2 linked regions of the Drosophila melanogaster genome follow. Changing the gene in region 1 together with any one later gene gives a genetic interaction. Each region holds a gene or a part of one and is shown in the gene's direction. Other genes may lie near its edges.

The links. Genes that interact genetically often act in the same process or in processes that back each other up.
Region 2: of trr (region 1) and cic, changing one suppresses a phenotype caused by changing the other (phenotypic suppression), as found in Drosophila melanogaster (one study listed by BioGRID).

What each region holds. Positions count from the first base shown.
Region 1 is NC_004354.4:1,886,938-1,891,693, reverse strand, and holds the start of trr (trithorax-related), read left to right. Parts: upstream 1-1,743; 5' UTR 1,744-1,918; coding exon 1,919-4,756. Other genes in the region: mRpL16 (mitochondrial ribosomal protein L16), read right to left, coding at 465-1,081, 1,151-1,216, 1,299-1,347. UniProt on the Drosophila melanogaster protein: Histone methyltransferase that acts as a coactivator for the ecdysone receptor during development. Specifically trimethylates 'Lys-4' of histone H3, a specific tag for epigenetic transcriptional activation.
Region 2 is NT_033777.3:20,250,898-20,255,845, forward strand, and holds the start of cic (capicua), read left to right. Parts: upstream 1-1,872; 5' UTR 1,873-2,956; intron 2,957-4,948. UniProt on the Drosophila melanogaster protein: Transcriptional repressor required for the specification of numerous cell types during embryonic development. Required for terminal patterning of early embryos.

The sequences.
Region 1 (4,756 bases):
ACTTGACTAGATCAACGAAGGTGTGGATTTTACTTGACAAATACGAGGAGCTGCGGCAGGTCAAAGTTCTGCTTCCAGAACTGAAGTCCGTGGGAGAAGGCTATTTGCTCACACACCATACCCCGCGACAAAGCATACACACACGCATACATGCATAATATTATACATTTATTATAATGCGAACGAAACGGCAAGAAAAACATATTATATGATGCATTACATATTACCCACGTAAACGAAATGGAAAATTAAACAAATGTTTGCAATAGAACTCGTACATTTCCCTTCATATGGCGTTTTTCTTATTTGCTCCACAATTGGGTGCCGCAGAGTCACGGCTTGGAACAACGAGCCCTAAGTTCGAAGTTCGAACCTACTTTAAGATATTTCCAGTTTTCAAAAGTACTTGAAACAGTTTCGTAACAGATTAACGAAGGATGGCTTTATTAATTGAAGCTATACATCTACAGGTGCTTGCCGAACCACTTGTGGTCCACGGGCGAGAGCCAACGGTGGCAGCCGCTGAGGTTGTTCTGGATCACGTACTTCATGGTAAAGGGGTTCTCATTCTGGCGGGTCTGTTCCTCCTCGGCGACGCGCTGTTCGTCGAGCATCTCCTGGGAAACGACGGTGGCCTGGAAGGGCAGCTGGTTGGCCACCTGCTGCAGGAACTGCTTGACCTCAACGAACTCGCACTTGCCGGCTATCTCGACAATGACGCGACCGGCCTTGATGGGGGTCACGTAGTGGTCGATGGCTCCCTTTCCGCCGCCCATCCGTTGGCCCTGGCCCTTCTTAGTGATCGGCTGCCAGGGTGCGGGAACGCGCCATGTGGCGAACATAGTGTTGACGTTCATCTTGCGTCCGATGGTCAAACGCATCATTTCGTAGTGGCCCCAGCGCAGGCGCCCTCCGCCAGTGGCCACGATTGCGTACTGCTTATGGAGCAGCGTGTTGTGCACCATCTCCGGACCGCGCATGTATCGCAGGCGCTTCTGCATCTTTGGCGGACGGATGTTTGGCGGCAGCTGGGGCTGGCGCTCAATGACCCTCAGCTTGGGTCTCTCCGGCTGCTCCACATCTGGGGGTTCCCACATTCATTCATTTATTGCTCTAAATTCATTGTGCACATTTAAATGCAACTACTTACTCTGGTATTTAATAGGCGGAGCGAAATACTTAAGACCGGCTGTGTTGACAATTGCCATGTTGCCCGCTGCAAAGAAAAGTTTAAGTGGTTTGTTGCAAACTGTTATCGGATTGGATGTGGCTAGGCAGGAAGCGCCACTGCAACTTACACGCAAGGCTTTGCTTAAAGAGCTGGGAGACTAACTTTAATGAGAGCATGGTGAGTTTATGTCAAAATATATTACTTATTTATAAAATTGTATTGTGCAAAGATGTGTTGCATCAACGGCCACCGTTGCCAGATCGAGCTAATAAATGTGGTGCTAAAAACATATATCGATAGACCACCGATTGGTCGAGTGAGCTGACGGCCCTGTCCAGACTATGGTTTATTCTTGCAGTTGAAAATGTGCCATATTGCACGTGGAACACAATAATTATGTTATGTATTAAAAACTTCTGAAGTTAACGAAAAATGATTGCTGTACAAACGTTATTCGATTGCAACCGCCATGGCGATATGTTGAAATGGGATGGGAAAAGTGGTGGGTTTCTGAGTGGAAAACCAGGGATGGGTAAGAACGTTTCAGGGTAATGGTCGTTTTACCATCTGGTAACACTGCTCTGCATACACGAAAATAAAATTTTTTTGACTAATCGTGCATGTTTTCGCTCGGTAAAAAAAAAAGCAGGCCGCGCGAGCCCTAGCTAGCTAGACCGCCGCCCTTCCCGTCCCACGAAACGCAGCGCATCGCATCCGGCGTTCCGCGTTTCCACTTGTGTGTTTGTTATGAATATACCGAAGGTGACAACATCGCTTGGTGCCGCCGAAAAGGCGAAACCCGAAAGAGTAGCATCCGTGGCCGCCGCTGCCTTCAATGCGGTCAGCCTGCAGAAGCGCAGCGGCGACGACACCGCCACTCCGGCGGAGGATCCCACGCGCAAGAAGGCCAAGACGGAGCTGCTTCTCGGAACTGGAACGGCAGCGCCCAGTTTGCCCGCCAAAGCGTCGAGCACCGCGCCGCAGCAGCTCCTCTACCAGCGGAGTGGACAGCAGGCTAAGGCGCAGGTAAAAGCTGCGTCGGAGCCGCAGGATGTCGAGACGGCGGACGGCGTCTGGGACGCCCGCGATCAGCAGATCATAGTGTGCAACTTCGGCTCCGGCACTGAGATGGGTGCCATCAAGGCGGAGGACGCTGACAAGCAGAGTGAGTACAGAATCAGCACTCCAAGGAACAGTCAATCTAACCCTTTGCTACACCGAAACACAGCCTTTACCAGCTTTACCAAAAAGGAGGGTGCCTCATCGTCGGCCTCGTCATCATCGTCAACCGCGTCCGTCATTTCCATCGAGCCCAGTGGCTCGGGGCAGGATCATGCTGAAAACTCCGGCAAATCTGAGGACCTCGACTACGTACTGATGCCAGCCAGCGGCGCGGATAGCTCTACATCTGTGGGTAACTCCACCGGAACGGGAACACCAGCAGGAACGCCTATTGGAGCTACTACCTCCACCATTATTTTAAACGCTAACAACGGAACGGCAGGAGTCAGTGGAGCCGGCACCACTACAATCCTCACACAGAAATCCGGTCACACGAACTACAACATCTTCAATACCACGGCCACTGGTAGCCAAACGCCCACTACAACATTGTTAAACCGGGTGAATCTTCACCCCAAGATGAAAACCCAGCTGATGGTTAACGCCAAGAAGCTGTCGGAAGTAACGCAGACCACGGCGAAAGTGTCGATTGGCAACAAGACTATATCGGTGCCGCTGCTCAAGCCGCTGATGAGCGCTAGTGGAGCGGCCACAGCCGGAGGAGCCACGATTGTAGAGAGCAAGCAACTGCTGCAGCCGGGCGGTCAGGTGACTACCGTAATGAGTGCTGCGCAGCAAAGCGGTGGTCAGCAGGTCCACCCGCACGTCCATTCTCATGCACATCACAACTTTACCAAACTTATCAAACGCGGGCCAAAAAATAGCGGCACCATTGTCTCGTTTTCGGGGCTACAGATCAAGCCGGCGAACACCAAAATTGTGGCCACCAAGGTGGTGAGCAAAAAGATGCTGCAACTTCAGCAGCACCAACAACAGATCCAACAGCAGCAGCAGCTTCAGCAGCTGCAGGTGACCAGTGGTGGAGGCCTGGCTCCGCCCACAGGCAGCATAGTGACTATCACCACCACCAACCCCAGCCAAACGTACGCAATGGTTCAGGATTCCGCAACTGTGGGACCTGCGGCCCATTCGGAAGACGATGCGCCAGCGCCTCGAAAGATTACAGCCTACTCGGAGAACCTTCAAAAAATTCTCAACAAGAGCAAGTCCCAGGAATCGACTGGAGGCCCGGAGGAGTTCACCAACATCAACAGCGTGGTGATTAAGCCGCTCGACAAGAATACACTCAATTGTCCACCCAGCTTTAACATCTTTAAGCAGCAGCAGCACTCACAGGCTGCTCAAAGCCAATCAATCTCCGCGGTAGGCAGTGGAGCAGGCACACCCGTGACGTTTACCATGGCTTCGGGGAATGCCTCAGATCTGGCCACCACCTCCACCGTTTCCGTTTCGGCGGGGACCATCTGCATAAACAGTCCGATGATGGGCACGCGGCCAATAATCTCCATTCAGAACAAGAACATATCCCTGGTGCTGTCCAAGACGACCATGGCCCAGCAAAAACCGAAGATGATAACTACAACCACGTTGTCCAGTCAGGCGGCGCTGCAGATGCATCATGCTTTGATTCAGGATTCTAGTGCAGACAAGGCGGGATCTTCTGCAAACTCCGGATCAGCTACCTCGGGAGCTTCAATGCAGCTGAAACTAACGACCGCCAATACGCCCACCAAACTCAGCGTTAGTCTGGCTCCGGACGTAGTCAAGCTGGAAGAAGTTGGCAGCGAATCTAAAGCAAAGCTACTGGTCAAACAGGAGGCGGTTGTGAAGGATAGCACTGGTACTCCGACCAGTGAGGAGCGGGCTGAGGAGATCGGCACGCCGGAGAAGCGTTTGAACGCCAATGCCACAATGACGGCTATTAACCAGGTTCAAAATCAGTCCGCCAATCAAATTCAAATGGCCACATCTACCTCAACTGCCTCGAATCCCAGCACACCCAATCCTACAGTGAACGCCACACCTATGAACAACCAACGCTCGGCAGCGGAGGATAATGCACTTCTAAAGCAACTGCTCCAAAACAACAGCAGCAGTCATAGCCTCAACCAGATAAGCATCACTTCGGCTCACGTTGGTTCCGCCTCAGCTTCGGCACCTCTTTCCGCCCGCAAGGTTATCAACGTACGGGCGCCCAGCATGGGGAAGGTCAGAAGTTTGGAGGATCAACTGGCACGTCCGGTGATTCCTCCGGTGCCCACTGCCACGCAGGCGGCAGGTAGTAGTAGTAGCAGTGGATCTGTGGCCACGTCCACCACCACCACAACAGTAGCTAGCGGAGGAAGCAGCCAACAGGTAGCCACCGCCTCAGCGACGGCTCTACCTGTTAGTGCGGTCGCAATTACCACACCAGGAGTGGGAGGGGAGGCAAAGCTGGAGCAGAAATCCGATCAGCCAGCAGCAATTATGCAGAATCAGAGCCAAAACCAGGCGCCTCCACCA
Region 2 (4,948 bases), on another chromosome or scaffold:
TTTTTTAAGTTATTGCAATAAGCATATATCTTACATGGTTTTATAACTTCTGTCATTTTTATTTTATAGTGTAAATTGTTGGATACTTAAATATATTTTATTTATAGAGGAATTAGAAGTAATAGATTTTAATTCAAGAATTGTAAATCACTTTGCAGCTATCATTATTAGAGTTTTGCTATAAGCTTTATAAATGGATTCTCTAATGTTGTGCACTGATGTGCTCGAAAACTAAGACTTAGGCCGCAAAATTTTCCAGCTCCACCAATTAATCAAATGAACCTAATACTTCGGGACCTGCGTATCTCAACTTGCACTTTTCAGCTCATTAAACTGGAAATGCTGCCTCTTCGTTGATGGAGCCAAAATTCGCTCCGAGAGTTTTCTGCTAATAAAAGTCCAAAGTTATGGCAATAATAGCAGCAGCAACAGAAGGTACAACAATTTGTTTTTTGCCGCTGTCGCGTGGGTGCAAACACATTTATATGTTTTCCCACGGTTAACACGACGTATGCGTAATTTATGTCGCTAGACGGCACCAGGTGCACGGATCACATAGCGCGGTTTTCATATTTCCAAAGTTCCGGCGCGAATTTGATGAATGTTTGCACTTTTTACGGCTCCTTCCATATGAGCGGTCTCATTTGAGGATAGTGCATTCATAAATTATCCACTCAAGAAAGTTGAGTTTAATGAGAAGTTTTTAAGCTCAAGCTCAAATGGAGCGGTACTTAAATTAAATGACTATTGTCACACTTAAAATTTGGCTTGCCAATCATTAGCTTTTATTTACTCTGGGGATTATTTTGAACAGCCTTCAACAATGTATTTTGGTTTATTAAATGTTTTAATAGTTGTGAAATTTTCTGGGATGCATATGCCTATGCATATTATGCATATTACGTATTCGTAAAAACTTTTGTTGATACACGTTTGTTTTTAAGTGTTACCTTACCTATTTAAGATTATATAAATCATCTACATTTACTTGGCTTTGATTTTAAAGTTTCCTAAATCTCGACGGAAGGAAAATCAAGACAGACGGAATATATATACCTTACAGTTTCGAAAACACTTTCTTCCACGCCTTTTATCAAATCAAGGACATCTCTCCAAATCTTAAGAACTAATCTCATATGTAACATTTAAACCAAACAGACCATCTTTAAGACCGACAGATGCCTTGATCTTTTTATAAATGCCACATTTCCTAGGAACTGTCCTATTCCATAAAATCGAAATATTAATAAAAAAGAAAGTAACATAAATTGTAAATAATACTATGCTAGTTTTTATTATAATCCAAACAACTGAACAACATTGGACTAAGTTACTACATGTAAATAATGCATTCAAAGAAGATTATCATAAACAACCTACACAGCCGAAGTTCCTGCACACAGTACTATATTATATAAGTAACTTAACTTAAACAATAAAACCTAAAAACAATAATAGCAATATTACACCCCTTTACTCTACAAGAAATGAATATAAATGTGGCAGATATTTTTCAGTGCTACCACAATTTCATAATTTTTAAGAACGTTGGGCATTGCCAGACTGAAGTGTAGAACTGTAGAGGTTCGTGTACTGACTAACTTAACGATAGATTGTACACAAGCCAGTTCATACAATCTTTGTATAAATTCGCAAACCATGCTAAAAGTAAATGTTAAGAAGCAATTACAATTTTTATTTATTTATATATCGCTCTATCACCGAAAAGTTACAACATTTGGTTGCACCCGCTCGCGGCGCCAGTGTAACCGTATCATTCGCCTTTGCCACGCAACTTGTAAGATTTTGCCCAATCCGGCCAACGGTCCCACTTTGGGGGTATTTTCTCAAATGGGGCAAATGGTCTCCAGCAGATTCTCACTTCATGCTCGGAATCGCACGGACGTGTCGCGGATGTCGGAAGGTGGAGCTCCTGTGAATTGCTCTTGTGCCCCGCGCACAAAACCCCAATAATAGCCAAATCGGGCAGCGCCTGCAGGCTTTTGTGTGAATAAAACGGTTTGTGGCGACATTTGTTCGATTTTTAGGTGTCGCAAATTAAATTCGTTTGCAAATACAAGGCACTTACGCACACAAACGCGAGCGCACGCACAAGTGTAGGTGTGAAAACAAGTGAAACAGAGAGCTGGGAAAACAAACTGGGCTGCATAGATACTGGCTAAATATTGGATTAAGCTCGTATAAAGATAATAATAACAACAACAATCAATCGAAAATGCGCGTGCGACAGAGAGGGTGCGAGTGTGAATGAGGAAAAGAGAGCGAGCGCAGCACGCACACAAACACTAACACGCTGACGTCGACGCGCTGTCTGTGCAGAGGAGCAGTGTTGCCAGCCCACAATACTGCTGCCCGAGAATCCCAATTAAATAATTAATAAGTTCGAATCAGAATTGGAGTATCTGAGGCAGGGCTTTTTGCTTTGCTTACTCCTTTTCCCCGATTCGGCTTATTGGCATTGGGCTCTGCTCTATGCTCTGAGTTGGCAACACTGGCCCCCAAATCGAGTGTGGGCAAGAGAGATAGAGAGACATAGAGAGCAATCGCGAGAGAGTCACATGCTAGGCGCTCATTTCAATTTTCCTCAATGAATGAACACTTTTCACGGTTTTCGGTTCGTCGGTTCGCGTTTTCCACAGTCGTGCGTTGTTTTGCTCGTGGAAAAGTTGTAAAGCCCAGCCAGCCATAATCCAACATTTTGTTTGCAGTGCATTTGCAGCGCGGGAGAGCGAGAACCAACGGCTTAGCGAGCAGTTAAATAATTTTTAAAGTGTTTGTGTTTTTAACGTGTAAAACCCGAAAAAGTCTATGCCTTTTGCATAACAAAAACAAGCCGAGCAAATAAAATAAAAGAGAAAAACAGCAATAAACACCCATACACGTAAACATATACGTACAGAGAGAAACGGACGCCTACGTCAATAAGCGAAAAACGGTAAGCGAAATTCTTTTACCCCATGTTGTATGTGCTTGCCAATTGGAAAATTTTGTATTTCCCTTCCCGCTTCCGTTCTCGCCATCTCACTTCCCCAGTCTCTCTCTCTCTCTCTCTTGTTCCCCCTCTTCCGGGCTTGCTCTTACACTTGCTTTTACGTTGTTGGCAAGCAGAGCTTCATTCATTTCCACAACTTGCACACATACACATACCAGCACACCCCCGCTCTCTGGGAATTAGAGAGTTGGCAAGAGAGCGGTGGGTCTCAGTGTGACCGTGTGTATTTGTTGTAGCTGGTCAGGCCACAAAATTTGTATTCAAGAAATTCTATTCATTTGTTAAATAAACCCTAAGCCTCAACATTTAAACATTTGCACATCATATTGTTCATAAAATACAAAAAAGTCGTAACAATAGCTCCTAGAATTAATATGTGCGTGTGTATGTATGCATTCTTTATCATTGATATGTTAAATGTGAAATGTTGAAATTCAAATTAAGCTCTGCCTTTTTGTAAACAAAAACAATGGGGTGAAAATCAGCTACTGAAATTAGCTAACCATTAAAGTTACTGGTTTTGGTGGATTTTATTAGGGAAATCATGATTAGTATATGAAAATTAGTGGACCACAAATGAGTTAATAAAATCATGGTGCACGGGAAACAATATTGCTGTATTAAGATGTTTTTTTTAAATTTTTTTATTGATAGAAAAACTGTCGTCAATCAAATCAATTTAATTTGAACACTGTACCAGCCTCTTTTGCTGTACATTGGTCCCACAGTTGCCAACTGAAGTTAACCGCCCCCACTCCCCTTCATCAAACACACACACAGACGCACTTGCACTCTGACTGGCTGGCCATCGATGTGTGTATGTAATTAGCAACAAAACTCTCGCTGGCAACTGCATCGCATGAGATTTGAGCGATGCGTTGCTTTTGTTATTGCTATTGTTGCGTCTGCCCGGACCAAATGCTCCCTCTCTTTCTCTAGTCGCTCTCTCCCACCCTCTCTACTGCCTAATTTACATTTGAATGTGCGTGAGCGCCCATTTGTTGATAATTATCAGCAAATTACTAGACGCACTTAGCAGCAGCAGCAGCAACAACAACAATGGGAGAAGTAATGCATACATACAGCGAGTTAGTACAGTGGTCACTATGAAACATAATACAGAGATTAATGCTTAATCGGAATTGAAATTTACACATTTAAGAATTAAAGTAATTCAGAAAAAACAAGGTAATATTCGAAAAAAAACATATTTGAAATGCCCTCTTTACAAAGTGCAAACGTATGCGTGTACAACAAAAAGGCGTGTTTCAACGACATTTATAATGCAGATTTCACTCCCCGTGCTGACCTTAAAAACAGTTTTTTGTTCTATTATTATTTTCTGTCATTCGCTCATACGGGTAGGTGGGGTTATTGAATTTTTAGAATAATTAATCAACCGCAAGAACTTTTGTTGCTAATTGGCAAGTCGTCGGTACAGAAATATAAACCCGTTGCTATGTCTACGATTTCGGTTTGTGCATATATATTGTACATATGTACATATGGGTATAGTATTAGTATGGCATGGCAAATCCAACTTTGGTGGCAAAAACTTAGTTATTCACTCACACGCACACACACAGCGAAAGAAACGCGCACGCCGATTGTTTATTAATTTTTTTTATTTGTACAAATTTGGTTTATCGTTAGCGGCAAATGTTTCTCTTTTCATTTTTATTATTAACTTCATTATTCGAGGCATGGCACGTTTTTCTTGCCTAGTTATTTTTTTGTTTCGATTTTTTATTACATCGCGTTGATGGTGTGTTTGAGTGTGTGTGTGCCTTTTATGGCCAGGACAATGAGCCAATTTTGGTATTGAAGCTAGTTTCTCAATTAGGCCAATGCACTGGTAGAAATTTCGACGCAGTTACTCCTAAAACAATATATATTAAAAAGAAGTATGGAACTTATTTACAACATGGTTAATAT